Arabidopsis thaliana: one gene and its partners. The protein of the gene in region 1 interacts with the protein of each later gene in a pairwise test. Each region holds a gene or a part of one and is shown on either strand. Other genes may lie near its edges.

Region 1 (6,311 bases):
GAAAAAAGAGTCAATATAGACAAAAGTTTGTGAGATTATGACTTACCATCTGTTTGTTTCAAATTATTTTCCAGAATCAATAATTTCGGATCATAGACAGAATTATGACCCTCAATTTATTTTGTTGTAAAAAATAGTAATTGTAGGGAAATTCAACGACATTTTTCACAGTGAATGTATAAACGGGTTCCTTAATTTGTAGTTACTGAAAATTACAAGTTAGTTGGGAAAATAATATATTTTCTGAAAATATTTGAGAAATTTAAAACAAATATTTAAAAATAGATTAATATTAATTTAGGTAAAATTTTGTTCATAATTTTTGTTTCCCTTAAATTATCTTGAATGGAAATTTTTAGGTTTCTCTTTCAAATCTTTTAGACAAATTTCTCTTTCAAAAAAGAAGGAATTAAAATTCATAAGAATGTTATAATTCCTGTAATAATATTTATTTTTTAAGCATCTTAATTATTTTTGTTACTTTGTTAGTGTATTGGAAGGGAAATGATGTATATATGGTTTGTTATTTTTATCAAGCAAAAATAAGAAACAACTTAAGGTTGAAGTATATGGTTGCTTTACCACCTACAATATAATGTCCCATGCCCTTTTCAAATTTAATCAGCTCACTCGGACTTCGATTGCTAAAATGTTGATGGCTATGTTTTCCATCGACATGCTGAAGTATCAAGCTAATGTTCAATCTCCCAATGCAAGTCTCCGTATATACAATTTGAAGACAATGCACTGTCATACTGCATTTAACTGAATCGTGTCTTGTAGCCTCTTTCATTAGTGACATTGTTCCAATTCATTAATCGAGCCAAGTTGGATCCATTATCTTGCGTTTAACGAGATTCTTGATCCGTATAATTAACTATATTCAGACATTTTTGTGTGTTCCAATATGCTTACTTCTACACTTTTCTCGATAACATCACTATTTTTTTAGTAATATTAGTCAGAAAATTAAAAGAAAAACAAAAAAAAACTATTGGTTACGTAATTTGATAAGTGGTAATTGGATTGTCGTATTTGCACAAGAAAAACGACATGAGGATTTTCCAACGAAAATGAAAAAATAACATAGTTGCACCAAAAGGTGAAGTAATTATAGCGAAGCGAGAATCTTATTACGCTGCGTTATTATTTGGTACACTTTACTTAGATGAAAGTCAAAATAAGTATCACTTCATTCATTATACAAGTCCTTCATCAAAATGACAATGATACTTTATCCAGATAAACTAATAAAAATAGCCGTGTTATATGCTAGTTTTTTATACAGTAAAACATATAAATTAATATTCACAAAATTAAGAAATATTATAAAACATTCCTGGAATAGGAATATTGTAAAATAAAAAAATTCAGATGTATAAAATAGTAATAATTTTTCAAAATATATTAATGTATTAGTTTTAGCTGTTTAATAAATAAATAAAAGTTGACGTTAGATTTCATCTCTATTTTTGTTGTGTTTTCAAAATATAGTATTAACTAGTATCGTCTATAACTTCGTCATCAAAATAGCCAAAACTTCTTTCAGTTTTTTATTTTAATCTAAGAATCTTTAATTTTAATTTCGAATATGTATCATTTCATTTCAATAGACTATATATATCTTTCTAATTCACCATCAAAAGATTTTTATTTTTAATTTAATATATATATATATATATATATATCTTTTGCATAAGTGAATTCTATAGAGTATAGACTTTCTAATTCACCATCAAAAGATTTTTATTTTAAATATCAAAATGTTCAAGTTGGAACTATAAAATTTATAATATCCAAACCAGTAAACTTTTTTAAGATCAATTTTCTCTACTCATATTTTTCAAATTAGTTTTAAGATAAAATATTAAATGATAATACAATTAAAAAATTTGAGATTTGAAATTTATAGAAAAAATAATATTACTATAAATTAACATATACATCATAGTTCTGTCATTAACTCATTATTAATTTAGAAAGTTTTTTATAAAATACGGATTCACCATGTGCGTTTGAACCAAAGTACAAATTTACCGAATATTAACTCTCACTATGGCCTATGGGCTTTATGATTCGCAAATACAAAAGATTTAAGCGATAAACATATATTCTCGTGGTTGTACAAATATGGCAATCTTCGTATCATAATTTGGATTCAAATTCAATAGTGGGCATGTAAGAAATGTAGAATGAAAGATGAGGGATGTGAAAAGTTCTACCATTTAGCTTTTTTTTTTTTTGGACATCTTTTAGCTTTAATAGTCAAAGATAAAGAACTAAATGTAATGACTTCTAAAATAGCTTAGTAAGCAATTGAAAGAGTCGTTATTCAAGTTTTGTATATAATATCATTCTTTAACTTCGTAAATTTTATGATTATAAATATTATAAAAAAATTACCCTCCACCATTAACAAATGTTAAACCCCAAAATCAAGACGTACTATCAATAGAACATGAGACATTTTTTAACAAACTTTATTTTATATTTTGTGTATGTGTATGTATAGATAATCATACAGATAAATGAAGAAGTGGGTCTAAAGACGAAGAAGACTCAGTGAAACTACTCCAAAGATCAACATTATCATCATTATTCCAATGAAGATCCCATCGCTGCATCATAGTATCACCATTTTCTTCTTCTTCATCAAAACTCTTACGATGACACGGATTATGATGACCATTGTTCAATTGCCAAGCTACGAGCCGGTCAAGACTAGCCCAGTTGCTGCAAACCGGTCTTTCGGTTATCTTCTCTTGAACGGGAGAGAAATCGAGTTTGCTTGGAGTCAGGAAACTTTGGTCGACCGGGCTCTCGGATTTAGGTGTCTCAAGACTTGGGAGTTGCATGAATAAGACATCATCTTGATGTTGAGTCGTTGTTTGGCTCTCGGGCATGCAAATGTTAGAACCGGTACGGTCCATGTAGAGAAGAACATGGTCTAAACCGGTAACGTTTTGAGTGTTGTGAAAGGTGGGCCCCTTCTCTTCCTCCGTGTCATCAGGTAAAGAAGATAGAGTGATTTTAGGACAATCGTCAATCTTTTGATAGTTCTTCTTCCTGAACACTCGACATACCACCCAACCTTCTTCGTTATAGCTCATTGGATCTTCTGTAACAACATCAGCATAGCCCTGATAATGGAACACAAATCGATCTTATGAAATGCAATAAGAGATGATTAAATCTTGATGATGTAAAAATGCAACTTTTATTTTGAAACAAAAAAAAAAATCTTTTATGTTGGTTTTTCTTTTGGATATGCAACCATAACTAGTTAACTACGTATTGTTTGTAGAGCCGTGTTAAACTATTTTAAGCCTTGTGAAAAAATCTTTTTATATAAATGTATATATGATGTGTTAATTTCATAAGAAATTATCTTATTGTAACTCAGAGAATCATGTTCGATTACTTTAATTGCAGATGCTAAAAGAAGGCTCTAGTGCGTACTAAATGAACCAAAACCTTTTATAGCATGAAACGAATCTAGCTAATTCTTTGACTATAAGTTTGTAATTTGTTTATTCTAACCTAAACTGCAAATTGATGATTGCTATATATACTTACATTAGACATTGGAGTATCGTCGAGGCGATACTCATGCATGATCCAGTCGGATTTCTGACCGTGAGGAGCTCTTCCTTTGTAGAACACGAGTGTCTTCCTCAGTCCAATTCTCCGGACACAACTGCAGATGATTTTGTCACGTCCGGTAGCTTTCCAGAATCCAGCGACTGTTGCCCGGTTCGTCCTGGTCCCGGTTGGATACTTCTTGTCCTTGTGGCTGAAGAAGTACCAGTCGTTTTGTGGCGTTGAACCGATTCTACATTCCTCTGCATTTGCATACCAAAATGGTTCAAAAATAAAGAACAAAGAAATAGAGAGTTCGTAGAAATGAAAGAGTTTTTTTTCATATTTAGGGTTTAACCTTGAATATCCCAAGGCTCAAGCTTGTTTAGATCAACTTCACGAATGACATCAAGATCGATCTTTTGAGAGTTAACTTTCTTACGGAGATAGTAATGGAGAAGTTCTTCTTCGGTGGGATGGAATCTGAAACCTGGAGGCACTTTTGATTGTCCATTAATCGAAAGATTGACCTTATTATCAGCCATTAACGAAGATAGCAATATATTTTTGGGTTTTTGCTCTAGAAGAGTAGAGAAGTTGTATGATTACGAGTGGAAATGGTTACAACTTAAAAAAAAGAAAGCAAACGATGAGATAATTTATAATGGTGGTAGGACTCGACGAGACATAGCCCCCAAAAGGGGGAAATTGTTATTTAAACAAAGAAGTTCATGCATTAAAGTGTCTTTATGAAATTAGTATAATTTAGTAAACAGATGTTTCTATGTTTAAATCGAGTTTGATCATACGTAAGTTCTGACGTAAGACATATTTCTTTTGACGTGTAATGTCATGTCATGTGTAATGTATAAAACGGAAAAATACTAACGTAAATAAACGGGTTTAGTGGGGGATTAATCTTTGTGTTTTCTTGCAATTACTTATTGCAGAATTTGAATTCCATGTGTTTTGGTCTTTACTAATGTATGTAAATATAAAGTATAGATTTGTTTAGAAGAAAATAAATGTAAATTATTTTCTAATATAGCTACGTATATTAAAATAATTTTCATTAATATATCACACACTCGTTTCATGATCTACGTCATCTACATTCTACCATGTTAATTAGTTATCTATTTTTTCCCATGTTTTTGGTATGTTCATTCCTTTCGATGTATCCTAAAAATACATCAATTTTTTTTTTCTTTTCATAATCTATCATTTTTATTCTAATATCTGGTGTCACCTAATCAAGATAATGTGTGTAACATTAACGAAAGAACTTTCCATGATTTTTTTTCTTCTTTTTGGACGATTTTCGATGTTTAATTGTACTATATTTTTTGGTGTATTTAAGTGACAAAAACGTGATGAAAGTCAAAGAAATTGAAACAAGCGGAGAAGAGCAGGGGACATGCTTTTTGCACAAGTGTGACACTTCATCTTCATTTCATCATTTAATTCACCTCTGCCTTTAGTGCATGTCCAATTAGTGCATGTATATTTCAATCTAGCTATTCATCTTAAATCGGAAATAGTTATTCAGACCATCTTACATAGTAAGTTTGAGTATTCGATGGTTATGCGAATACCAAAAAAAAACTAAAATGAAGGGTAAGGCTATATAGCCATTAATATTTAACCGTAGATATTGAAATAGCTAAAAAGAATAGAGAGTATGAATGTGGGAGTGACAGACTGACATGTTGGAATATCCACTTCCAGCTAAAAAGGTGATAGTTGGATTATGTACACAAATAACTGAATTAATTAGCAATATTTGTTTATGAAAATATATGTATATATTCAACCATTTAACATACATATATGTGTATATATTTTAGTTATGGACTTAATTATTGGAATTAAGCATACTGATATAATATGATTTACAAATAGAGGCTGGAGCAATGACACTTTAATCGTTTTCTTATTATATAATATAAGTATATAACATGTACATAAAAGTTGTTACCCTACATGCACTGTACTTATCATTTGTCTGTTGATGGGATCTTTGTGTTTCAACATTAATAATGATGTTTTGTTTCTCTAAATTCTATGCTTAATCATGCTTTTGGGTACACAATTGATGGATTAACTAATACCACATAATGATTAACCACATTTGACCTCTCATTCTTTCACTTTTTCCATTTCTTTATTCTAGTTTTAATTGAGTTGAGTGTGAAGTTTCACCTCGTAATTTGTTCCCATACTAATATTTTGATATATCATTTCGTCATTCCCTTTTGTTAAATCATGTGTGTCCCATGCTCACATGTATGTTATTAACTGAAAACTAATTTCGAACAAAAATATCACAAAAATTAATTCACATTTGTCATTAAATCGAAATAAGGAGAAATAAATTAAATATTCAAGAGAATGTTAAGGCTTTTACACTAAAGTTGATATATATTGAAACAAGAATATTTAATTTATCTAACATGTTAACTAAATCATTGAAGGTGCTCCAAAGTTGATGATCTTGCTGGAGCAAGTTAAGAGCTCACATCATTAGAAATCGTTATGTAGAAGACGGATGTGAGTCATGTGACAAAGGGATGAAACCGGTTTAGCTAATCTGAATCTTTGTTGGTTTTGATTCCTGCAGGTTTAGCTAGTTTGGCTCAAATGGTCGAATGGTTTGAGATATAAGAGAACTGTTGGGCTGGATCATCAAAGGAAAAGGTCGAACTTGTATGTTGTTGTGCTTAGCTTAAATT
Region 2 (5,428 bases), on another chromosome or scaffold:
CAGCACCGGCTTTAGAGGCGGATGAATCGTCAATCCAGATCCAACCCATAGCTAAAATTCGTGATGAGATTCTTCTTCTGTGTGTGTGTGGATTCTTCCTCAAGAAAAACTCGAAGCGTCCGATTTGTTTTTTTATACTCAGGCCTCTTTGTTCGTGAAACCGACTTACCGGCGCGTGAGGATTTTCTTTTTCTTCACGGGTCGGAAAAAAGTTTGAACCAAATCAAACCAAACTAAAGTAGTCAAATTTCTCAATCTGAACCGGAAGACCGCTGGTTAATAGATTTTTAACGTATGATGCGTCTCAAATTGTTTGATTTATTGTATTCGCGTTTAAGATCCACTCATTTTATTACCTTGTATCTTATTCTTTTTTTTCATAGATACTTTCTTAGTAGATCAGAGTTGTAACTAAAATTTTGAGAAATACTTAGACATTCACCATTACATAATAAAAATGTTTAGAATGTATCAAATATTTAGAATTTATTCAGTATTTAATTTTCTTATTAAGGAAAATAGATTATATAAAAAGTAATAAAAGTTGAAGTTAAAAGATGGGAAAGAAAGATTTTTTGGGTAAATTTTTTGACATTGCTGTGAACAATTGGGTCTTAGTCAATTTCTCAGGGCCCAATATGAAAGTATTCATCATTAATTCTGGCAGATGGGCCAAAATATTAAGAAGCCTAGCACAATAAGTCTTAAATCAGCATCATTGCTTCAAGTTGAAGCCTTCGACGTTACCGATGATGGTTTGAACGACCTCGGTTTGTCTTGTTATGAAAGGAATACAGAGCCGAGAGAAAGAGCATATCACTTTTGAGTGTTTGTAAAAATGAATTTGAGCATATCTTTGGTTATTTCTGGTTATTGAGTCTGTTGACTATAAACGATTGTAACAAACTCTTTGAATCATTAATGAGAAATTGAGCTTTTCACCATGTTTTCTCTCTCGATCATGGTTCCTAATATTTGGAGTAATATTTTTGTTTACCGAATACTTTAAATAAGATAAGAGTAGTTTTATCATGGTCAACTCATTTTTATCATCTCACCTACTTAATTTCAGCCAGCTTGAGATTGGAGACAAAAACAATCGTTTTCAAGTGTTTTTTTTCTTCTTGATTTATATCTCTTAATCAACGTTTTATATCTTTTCTTAAGGTCCTCATAAAAGTCTTTTTCTCATATCATCATATGTATTGGCTAACGGTTTACCCAATAAGACAAATACGCTGTTAAATATCTGGTTTTGTTTAACAAAAAAAAAATTGCTAATAAATAAACCATATGATTGAGAAAGATTGTCAGACTGACTATCAAAAACGCCTAATTGATTCGATCCCATTATCTTAAGTTCCAACTTGTCCTCAAACTCTTTTTTTTTTCTTTGACGTCTCAATATTTAAAATGATCTCTCAAAGTTCAATACAAGCCAAGAAACATATTTGCCAATATTCAAAACGACTTTAATTACTCTTTCTTGGTACGTATGTATAGATAAACTCGTTCACATTGCTTAAAGAAAAACTAATCCAACAAAATTGTGAAAAATTCATCCTTAACCTCCTTTCTCTTACAAATCTTCGGCTTCGAAGAGTGTATATACAGTGATCAGTTAGTGACCAAAAATAACAAATTTACAAGGAATTAAAAGAAGAATTAATAACGAGTTTAAGCCGGAGATTAGTCAAGATTTCGATTTCTTCGGTTATAAAATAAACAAATCACTAGGACATTCTTGTGGCGGCCACGGAGGAGGCTAAAGGGACAACCTCGGCGAGGGGAGTAGACAGAGGAGTTGGAAGCGGCGAAGTCCGACACACAGGACACGTAGGATTGAGTCTAAGCCACGTGTCGATACATTTAAGGTGGAAGAGATGGTTGCAATCTGGTAGCTGCCGCAGCAGATGTTTTCCCTTGTAGTCTCCTAAACAAATGGCACAACACGACGCCGTTGTTGGTCCCTTTGCTTCCGAGTAGAGAATCTTTGGATAGCTTTGAATGGTGTCCTCGTCAAGACCGGGGACAACGTCGATGATGACATGGTGGTGATGGTGATGGATACGTGTTGAATCTTGGTTGGTTTGTGAAGGTGAAGAAGAGAGCTGGTTACGTGTGCAATAGTATGAGGTGAGGGTGATGGTGGTGATGAGGAGGAGGACCCCGATGGAGACACCGATTCCGTATCGAAATCCTCCTATGTCGTCCGTGCCGAGGAGGCCGTTGTAGTCCGGCATCTCGGACGGTGGCGGTGGTTGGAAATTGTTCATGGCGGGTTTGGTTTGATGGTTTTGTTTAATGGGTTTGGGAGGAGGAAGAGGAGAAATAATGGAGAGGTTTTTGGTCAGCGATTTGATATAAGACAATGTAAATTGAAGCATCTTGGGGTTATCAAAAGTCAACGCTAAGAGAGAGAGAGAGACAAAGGGAGGAAATGCATGTGAATGAGGATAAGAAAGCTTGTCAAAGCAAAGCAAGAATTGTGTGACTTGTGGATGGTTAAAAAAATATTCAATGTATAAATTTTCTAATATTGTATTGGTAATACTGTAATAGTATAACGCATATATAAATATATTGACCCATTAATTCGTTGTTTATTTCAAACATAAAACACTTAGTTGCACAATTGAATTGGATACAGGGCTAATGAATTTAACGTGTGACATGTATTAAGATTTGATTTAGGAATGTAGGGAGGGGCCAGTGGCTAAGATTAGAGAAGGTTTACGCTGAATTAGTTTGAAGTCAACGTTGTACTTATATACTAATCTTGTTGTTTATGTACGTTTAGTTATCTCCTTTATTCAGGCTTATTTAAGTCCAATCATGTCACCTAAGCAACGTTTAGTTTCCTTCACTTGCTTTTAAAGTCGCAGTGTTATCTTATTTTAGTATTAGAATATTTAAAACTTTGAAATCTCTCCATATTAGAAGATTAATATAAAGTTTTGTTTTTCTCCTAAAAGTGGCAAGACAATAAAATAAAATATAATTGTAGGTAAATAATTTGTATATACTAGGAAATCCAAATTTAACCAATTGAGTCGTGGGCATTAACATTTGTATTACATAAAATTATATTTTGGCAAACTACCATAGGATAAAAATCATTCACTTAACGGCCAAGTTACTAACACAAGGCATCTTTGATAATGGAAAACAATCTGTTGGACAGTTGTTATTAATGAAGAAAATGCGTCATTGCATGCTCGCATGATGTATATTTTAATATACACTAGCTATGATAGTATATAAACAGATATACATGTAATTAAGAATGGAGATAAATGAACGTATATTATCCAGGGGCGGATTCATTTGGTGAAGAATGAATGTATTCAGTGAATTTTAATTGATATTCGAATACACCATTGTTATTGAACACTTAATTATTGCCGCCGCTCTTCCAATTTTTCAATTCTTTTTTTCCCCAATCAGTAGAGTAACTATGGGCTTTTAAAACCCATAGCTCCGGATTCCCAATCATATATTCTATAGTCTATGTCATCTAAAACAATATGAATTTAGATAAACAATTTATGACCTTCAAGCCATATATTTGGGCCGGATACTCAAAACATATGAAATTACACTCAAACACTAATTGAGCTACTTAGGCCAAATATATAAAGGAAACACTTACTACTAGGCATAAAAAGTTTGGAAGAAATAATAAGAGAGAAAAAAATGTTATAATCCTGACATTGTTTTTTTATTGTTAACTCACTCTTGGAATAAGTTGTCCAAGTCTCATAGTTGACTCAGTTTGGTGGTGTCACAAATTAGTTCCATCATTACTAATTTGCTATCAGTTTGGTGATGTATCAAATACTGTTGATCTAGTAATTTCACAAAAAGCGCATATCTTCCGGCTAATGATATTAGATTTACTCATATGTGTAATGTGTATGTATGGTTGAAAGTTGAAGCTAAATTAGGTTTAAGTCACTCATATCATATGTGTGTGTTATCTTGTATAGTGTAATACAAAATTCAATACAAAATTTTCCAATAAGCAAAAATAGTCGTCAGTGCGAGTTCAACTTTAAACTGTTTCAAACTTTATATTCATTACGAATGCAACAGTCCCTCTCTTGTTTCTCCACGCTTCGCTTTCTCCTTCCATTTTCTTCCAAACTCTCTCCGCTTCGTCCTCTCTTTCACACCGCCGCTATGCCTCCTCACGGTCCTAATTCTCAAGGTGGTCGTCGAGGCGGAGGTCATTCCTCCGGTCGTCGTGGTGGACGCGGCGGCGGCGGTCGTGGCGGTGGTGGTGGCGGCCGGGGGGAACAGCGATGGTGGGATCCTGTGTGGAGAGCTGAGCGTTTGCGCCAGCAACAAGCTGAGGTAATTGATACATTGTTCTTGTAGATTCTGAGTTCATTACTTCAATTTAACGATTAGACATTGATACATAATTTCGAATCAGATGATGAAGTAGTCATAATTTATCTCAGATGGAAGTACTTGATGAGAATGAATGGTGGAACAAGATTGAGCAATGGAAAACAGGAGGAGAACAAGAGATGCTAATTAAGCGTAATTTTAGCCGTGGAGATCAGCAAACACTTTCTGATATGGCTTTGCAGATGGGTCTTTACTTGTAAGTCTCTATATCTTCTTCGACAACTTCGTTTTAAGTCCATATGGTGAGAGTATGTCATGAATTTGCTTATCGTTTTTTGGAATGGAAGTCATGCGTACAATAAAGGGAAGGCTCTTGTTGTTAGCAAAGTTCCTTTACCAGATTATCGAGCGGATCTTGATGAACGGCATGGATCCACTCAGAAAGAGGTAATAGAGATGTTGCTAGTACGAAAGTTTTGTACTCAGTGGTGGCTGCTGAAACGCTTATACTCTTTTTCTTGTAGATTAAAATGTCCACAGAGACTGAGAGAAAACTTGGAAGTCTTTTGAAAACAACACAAGAATCAGGGTCCTCTGGTGCCTCTGCTTCAGCTTTTAACGATCAACAGGATCGTACTTCAACTCTTGGCTTGAAAAGACCTGATTCTGCTTCCAAATTGCCGGATTCTCTTGAGAAAGAAAAATTCAGTTTTGCACTCAAGGAAAGGCAGGAAAAGCTTAAGGTACATGTATTGCTAAAGTAAACCGTATGCATTATGGTAGATGTAGATTCTGGACATAACATCAATTTATAACCGTTTCAACACAGGCAACTGAGAGTGTAAAAGCACTTAAAGCGTTCAGAGAAAAGCTACCTGCTTTTAAAATGAAAGAGGAGTTTCTTAACTCTGTTTCACAAAACCAGGTAATTGTTTGGTATGTTTTTCTTCTCTGTATTCCATCAGCTATTATTTCTGCCTCTCTCCAATAATATTGTCAAGCTATTTTTTTTAGTTGTCTTGTGTTGTGTTGATCTTGCGCTTATAGTTGTGTCCGTTGTTTATTTTTCAGG
Region 3 (5,648 bases), on another chromosome or scaffold:
ATTGAGATTTGTCCTTCACAGTAAAAAAATGTTATAGATTTTTGTAGACTCATTAATAAAAGCAAGTGTTCATGCGCCATTGTATATTTATTTAGTTTTGGTTACCAAGTGATGTTCCAGTGGTAATTACATTCCATTGGGCCCAAATAAACTTCACAATAAACAAATATGAAAAACCTTTTGTTTCTTGTTCAAGAAACTCGACCTAAGCAATACCAGATTCTCTAAAACAATACAAACTGGGTTTTCTCTCTTATGCCAACCTTTTCCTGTCTTGAGTGAAAAGCCTAGTTGATACCCATTTAAACAAAGATCTATAAAGACAAAATTTGTTGAAAACTTGGCTTTCCATTAACAAGTAATTATTTCTTTCACAATATCATACTAAAGATGAATTATACGTATATTTGTCGTAAATAAACGGAGCGATATATCATAGAGAAATATCCTAAAATAGCACTCAAACAAGTTTAATGGACAATTAAAATAACATTGTCCACAAATTTGTAAAATTAGCTTTAGTGAATTTACTCAGTAACTATTTTATAATTATATAAATTAACAAAATTAATTACAATTTGAAATCACGATTAATTTACAAACAATCGTGTGAAACGTCAATCGAATGTTAATAACTTTATATTAGTTTTTTACTATGAATTTGTGTTTTTTTAGAGTTTTAGAGATTGTGTGTTAAATTTAGTAACAAACTTACTTTCATGCTATTTATGAGAATTGCATATTTCTAGACCAATTTTTTATTATTATAATTCATATAATTATTCTTGAATTATTTATGTGCTATTTGTGAGAATTACCAATTTCTAGACCAATATTTTATTATTATTCATATAATTAAACGTTTATTGAATTATTTTAGCTCTAAAAAATATAATGAAATTTAGAATTGTTATAGAAACTTTAAATGACTCAAAACTGATCTTTGTTTTTTTGTCAACCACACATTAATTAAAAACTGATCTTTGTTAAACATCTAAATATTGAAAAACAAAAGGATTACCACCGCACCTATCCTGCATCGTCTTGTACCATTTGCATTCATCAGAGCCATTATATATTCATGTGGCTGTCACATCCTTATATACATTTCAACTTATAAATTTAATTTTGTACGTTTAGCAGATGTTGGTGAATTCATTTATTCAAGCTTAAGGTTTAACTCGTTCTTGTCTCCTTTAGGTTCATAACATTTAATGGACAACAACTACTCCAAATATCCGTGGACTTTACCACGCGACGCACCGACAATTCTCTAGCCTTTTCATTAATTGATCAGTAAAAACACTTCTATAATTTTAATTATTCTCAGAAATTTTAACCGGTAGTAACATAAACGTAGATGATCGAAAAAGATGAAATCGAGGTCTCTGTTTTGTGTCGAATTAATAGATCTATAAGAAATCAAACAATGAAAATTAAATAGATGAATGAAATATGTTTTGACGACGTTTTCACGTCACTGTTTAAGTTATCTGTTAGTAAAATTTGATAGCATTTAATTTGAATTGCTATGTAACTCGGAATAAATTCGACGGCAAGAGGTGTGGGATGTGATCAGTCTTCTAATTAAGTGTAATCTTTACAAAAAATCAGTATGAGTTAATACAGGTTTATAAATAGAAAGACATCTACAGTAAAACCTCTATAAATTAATAATGTTGGGACTGCAAAATTTTATTAATTTAGAAAGATTTTAATTTATCGATAAATTAATATTTATTAATTTATAGAGAGATTTTCGTAATTTAGTAACTTTTCAAAAATTTCTATAAAATTTTTTTCATTATAGAAAATATCTTTCAAAAATCAATTACAAGTAAATAATAATATCATGTTTAGAAAACAACACCAAAAGTTTTTGATAAAGTAAAATACTATAACTAAATTTAAATAAGAATAAATACAAATTTTAAGCAAAAAAATATTAGAATTATATTTCAAAATAATTTCTTACATATAATGTATATATAGTTGATATATTTATAAAATTATTAATTTATGATATTGATGGGACCATATATTTACATAAGATTTTTTAAAAAGTTATTATCTTATTAATTTATCGATTTGTGTCACTTTTTACACTGATCCCAACTCGGGACTGGAAGAATTTATTAATTTATAGAGGTTATTAATTTATCGAGTATTAATTTATAGAGGTTTAACTGTATATGAATAATTGAATACACATGGGACATCATTATAGTTACCTTAGTACGATTTTATGCATTTGGTTACCAAAATCCACTAGGCTTCGTAATTGGTTGTGGGTCAGTGTCCATTCGATAGTTTGCATTAGCGATAAACACTTAAAACAGTAAAACGTGATCTATTTTTAAACAATAACATTTCTTCTTATCAAATATTCACATAATTAATGAAGAAAAGAGACGAATTGATAGGCAATAAGAAATATGATCACTTGGTACCATTGTATGCATGGTATGAACTGACATCAAGTATTTGTACGTTGTAGGGTAATTATTAACATTGTAGAATGACAAGTATGATCAAATGGAAAAGGATTAGTTATATGTAGCAAAACTAGTATTTGTACTTGGACTATCTTGTCATGTAGTTTTCCTAACGCTATATATAATCCAATAACCCCATGACACGGAAGAGATAGGGGACATACAATAAATATCAGTAGAGAGGACGTGGGAAAAGCAGAGAGTTAAGTGAGTAGTTGGAGATAGAAAGATCAGAGACGAGGAATCTCTCTCCCACTCTCACTTTCTCTCCTATTCTTAGTTCGTGTCAGAAACACACAGAGAAATTAAGAACCCTAATTTAAAACAGAAGAATGGTACATTCGAAGAAGTTCCGAGGTGTCCGCCAGCGTCAGTGGGGTTCTTGGGTTTCTGAGATTCGTCATCCTCTCTTGTCAGTTCTCTCTCCCTCTCTATCTATTAATAGAGACAACAGTATAAATCTGTTTATGCAAGTCCATGCTATGAGTTAAGTTTACATTTTTGGTGTACGTGTAGGGCAGTTTTCTGATCATTGATTATATTTTCGAAGATTCATGCAAAGCTCTTATAATATCATGCATTTTTGTTTAAGTCGTTTTCCTTATTTTTTTCCAATTAAAAAACCCACGTTTATTAACATATACATATGTTGAGTATTTGTACTTTTTGTGTTGTATTTTGAAATTTTGAGTGTACATAAATTTAAATGCTTTGTCATATAATTGATACTGATGTATTTTCTATGTCTTAGTTGGATTATAGAAAATCATATAGCAAAGAATTGGGAAGGAACGAACACTACTCACTATAAACTTTCCTCAAAAAGAAAACGACCCAATTTATTATCAGTAACAATTTATAACAAATTTGTTGTGTGTTTGTTTTAGTACTTTGAAGTTTGAATAAAATGTGTGTTTTTTGCTTACGTAACTTATGTGAGCTATCAGGAAGAGAAGAGTGTGGCTAGGAACATTCGACACGGCGGAAACAGCGGCTAGAGCCTACGACCAAGCCGCGGTTCTAATGAACGGCCAGAGCGCGAAGACTAACTTCCCCGTCATCAAATCGAACGGTTCAAATTCCTTGGAGATTAACTCTGCGTTAAGGTCTCCCAAATCATTATCGGAACTATTGAACGCTAAGCTAAGGAAGAACTGTAAAGACCAGACACCGTATCTGACGTGTCTCCGCCTCGACAACGACAGCTCACACATCGGCGTCTGGCAGAAACGCGCCGGGTCAAAAACGAGTCCAAACTGGGTCAAGCTTGTTGAACTAGGTGACAAAGTTAACGCACGTCCCGGTGGTGATATTGAGACTAATAAGATGAAGGTACGAAACGAAGACGTTCAGGAAGATGATCAAATGGCGATGCAGATGATCGAGGAGTTGCTTAACTGGACCTGTCCTGGATCTGGATCCATTGCACAGGTCTAAAGGAGAATCATTGAATTATATGATCAAGATAATAATATAGTTGAGGGTTAATAATAATCGAGGGTAAGTAATTTACGTGTAGCTAATAATTAATATAATTTTCGAACATATATATGAATATATGATAGCTCTAGAAATGAGTACGTATATATACGTAAACATTTTTCCTCAAATATAGTATATGTGTTGTGATTCTAAGACTTGTAAACTGATATGGCCTACTGTTTAAAGAGTAGTTGATATTTTCTATTGAATTTGTGGACATGATATAATTACAGGAGATTAGTATAGTAGTCATTATGATACTTATGAAGGTACAAGTGGTAGGATGATAATTAATTAGTTTAATAAAGAATAATGAACATTAAATGTGAAAGAGATTTGCCACTTTTGTTAAACACATCTGCGAATCAGATTCTTGTGATTCGAATGTTAGTCCTACCTAGATTAAGAAAGGTTTTACTATTTTAACATGTTTACCTGGTTTGGGTAAAGTTCATGTCCTGTCCTATTCCGTCTTGTCCCGATCATGATAAACTTTATGAGCAATTCTTATAGAATTTTATTTTAAAATACTGATTTTTGATATTCAATTTTATTTGATTATTTTTTACTTAGGCATGTGATAAAGGCGATTTTGACTTAGTTTCACATACAAGTTTAAGTAAATTATCTTACATAACAAAAGAGATTCAAGTAAATAAATCTAAGCGGGCTAAAATTAATCAACTAGCTCAAGTTGAAACATTTTATCAAGTGAACCTCTTCCAAGTCTAGATAGCATCTCAAGTTTATATATGATATCATATCATGGACACACTTTGGATTTTGGATATTTTGTGTCGATGTTTAAACATCTTGTTTAGATATAAGGAGAGCATCTATTTTGACATAAATATTTAATAGGTTAAGTTGACGAATTTTGATATTTTGGATATTTTGATGCGGTAGGGTTATTTTATTATTTTTATTCTATTTTGACTGAGACGATTATATATAGATTACCGGCAATATTTTTGTTTTTTGGATACTTAAAATATAAATACTGTTATATATGTCTTCTAGATATTTTATATGAGAGGTCTAATAAGTTTTAAAAATACATAAATATGTAACTAATTAAATATTCATGTTATATCGAATAAAAATATTAGTATTCAACCGCACTATATCATTTATGTAAACATTGTTTCTCAAAAATGATTTAAAATCTTAAAACGGACACAAACACCAGGTATAAAGTTTTAACTAGTTATATTGGCTGGTTTAGAGTTAAATTACATTTTGTTAGTTCAGAATTTGACTGGTTTGGTCGTTTTAAAATTTAATTAATTTCGCTATTATTCTTTTTATTTTATTTTATTTATAACCGAAAACAATTATAAATTGGTGAATCACTTCCGTTACGTGTGAGTCTCTCTCTTTTAGTAAACTCTGAAAACGTTTTTTCAGGATCTCACCAAAATTCACAAACTTCGGAGAATACACCACCGTCTCCGCCGCAGAACCACCGTCGTAAGAGAGGCAAAAACATCACGAATATGGGTAAAGGTGGATCACTAAGCGAAGGCGTGATTAAGAACATAATCATCTCCTACACATACGTAGCAATATGGATCTTCCTAAGCTTCACCGTCATCGTCTACAACAAATATATCCTCGACAAGAAGATGTACGATTGGCCATTCCCGATCTCACTCACAATGATCCACATGT

Evidence for each region. The genes of interacting proteins can lie anywhere in the genome.
Region 2: the proteins of NAC012 (region 1) and AT2G35910 interact in a two-hybrid assay, tested with the Arabidopsis thaliana proteins (one large-scale study listed by BioGRID).
Region 3: the proteins of NAC012 (region 1) and SHN3 interact in a two-hybrid assay, tested with the Arabidopsis thaliana proteins (one large-scale study listed by BioGRID).

The regions. Positions count from the first base shown.
Region 1 is NC_003070.9:11,862,827-11,869,137, forward strand, and holds NAC012 (NAC domain containing protein 12), read right to left. Parts: upstream 4,329-6,311; 5' UTR 4,125-4,328; coding exon 3,938-4,124; intron 3,843-3,937; coding exon 3,577-3,842; intron 3,141-3,576; coding exon 2,517-3,140; 3' UTR 2,403-2,516; downstream 1-2,402. UniProt on the Arabidopsis thaliana protein: Transcriptional activator of genes involved in biosynthesis of secondary walls. Together with NST1, required for the secondary cell wall thickening and lignification of sclerenchymatous fibers and secondary xylem vessels (tracheary elements).
Region 2 is NC_003071.7:15,071,492-15,076,919, forward strand, and holds AT2G35910 (RING/U-box superfamily protein), read right to left. Parts: upstream 2,650-5,428; 5' UTR 2,388-2,649; coding exon 1,734-2,387; 3' UTR 1,396-1,733; downstream 1-1,395. Other genes in the region: AT2G35900 (Mal d 1-associated protein), read right to left, coding at 1-49; AT2G35920 (RNA helicase family protein), read left to right, coding at 4,087-4,356, 4,467-4,612, 4,704-4,803, 4,881-5,099, 5,186-5,281, 5,428-5,428.
Region 3 is NC_003076.8:8,817,810-8,823,457, forward strand, and holds SHN3 (Integrase-type DNA-binding superfamily protein), read left to right. Parts: upstream 1-2,648; 5' UTR 2,649-2,827; coding exon 2,828-2,907; intron 2,908-3,442; coding exon 3,443-3,932; 3' UTR 3,933-4,253; downstream 4,254-5,648. Other genes in the region: AT5G25400 (Nucleotide-sugar transporter family protein), read left to right, coding at 5,474-5,648.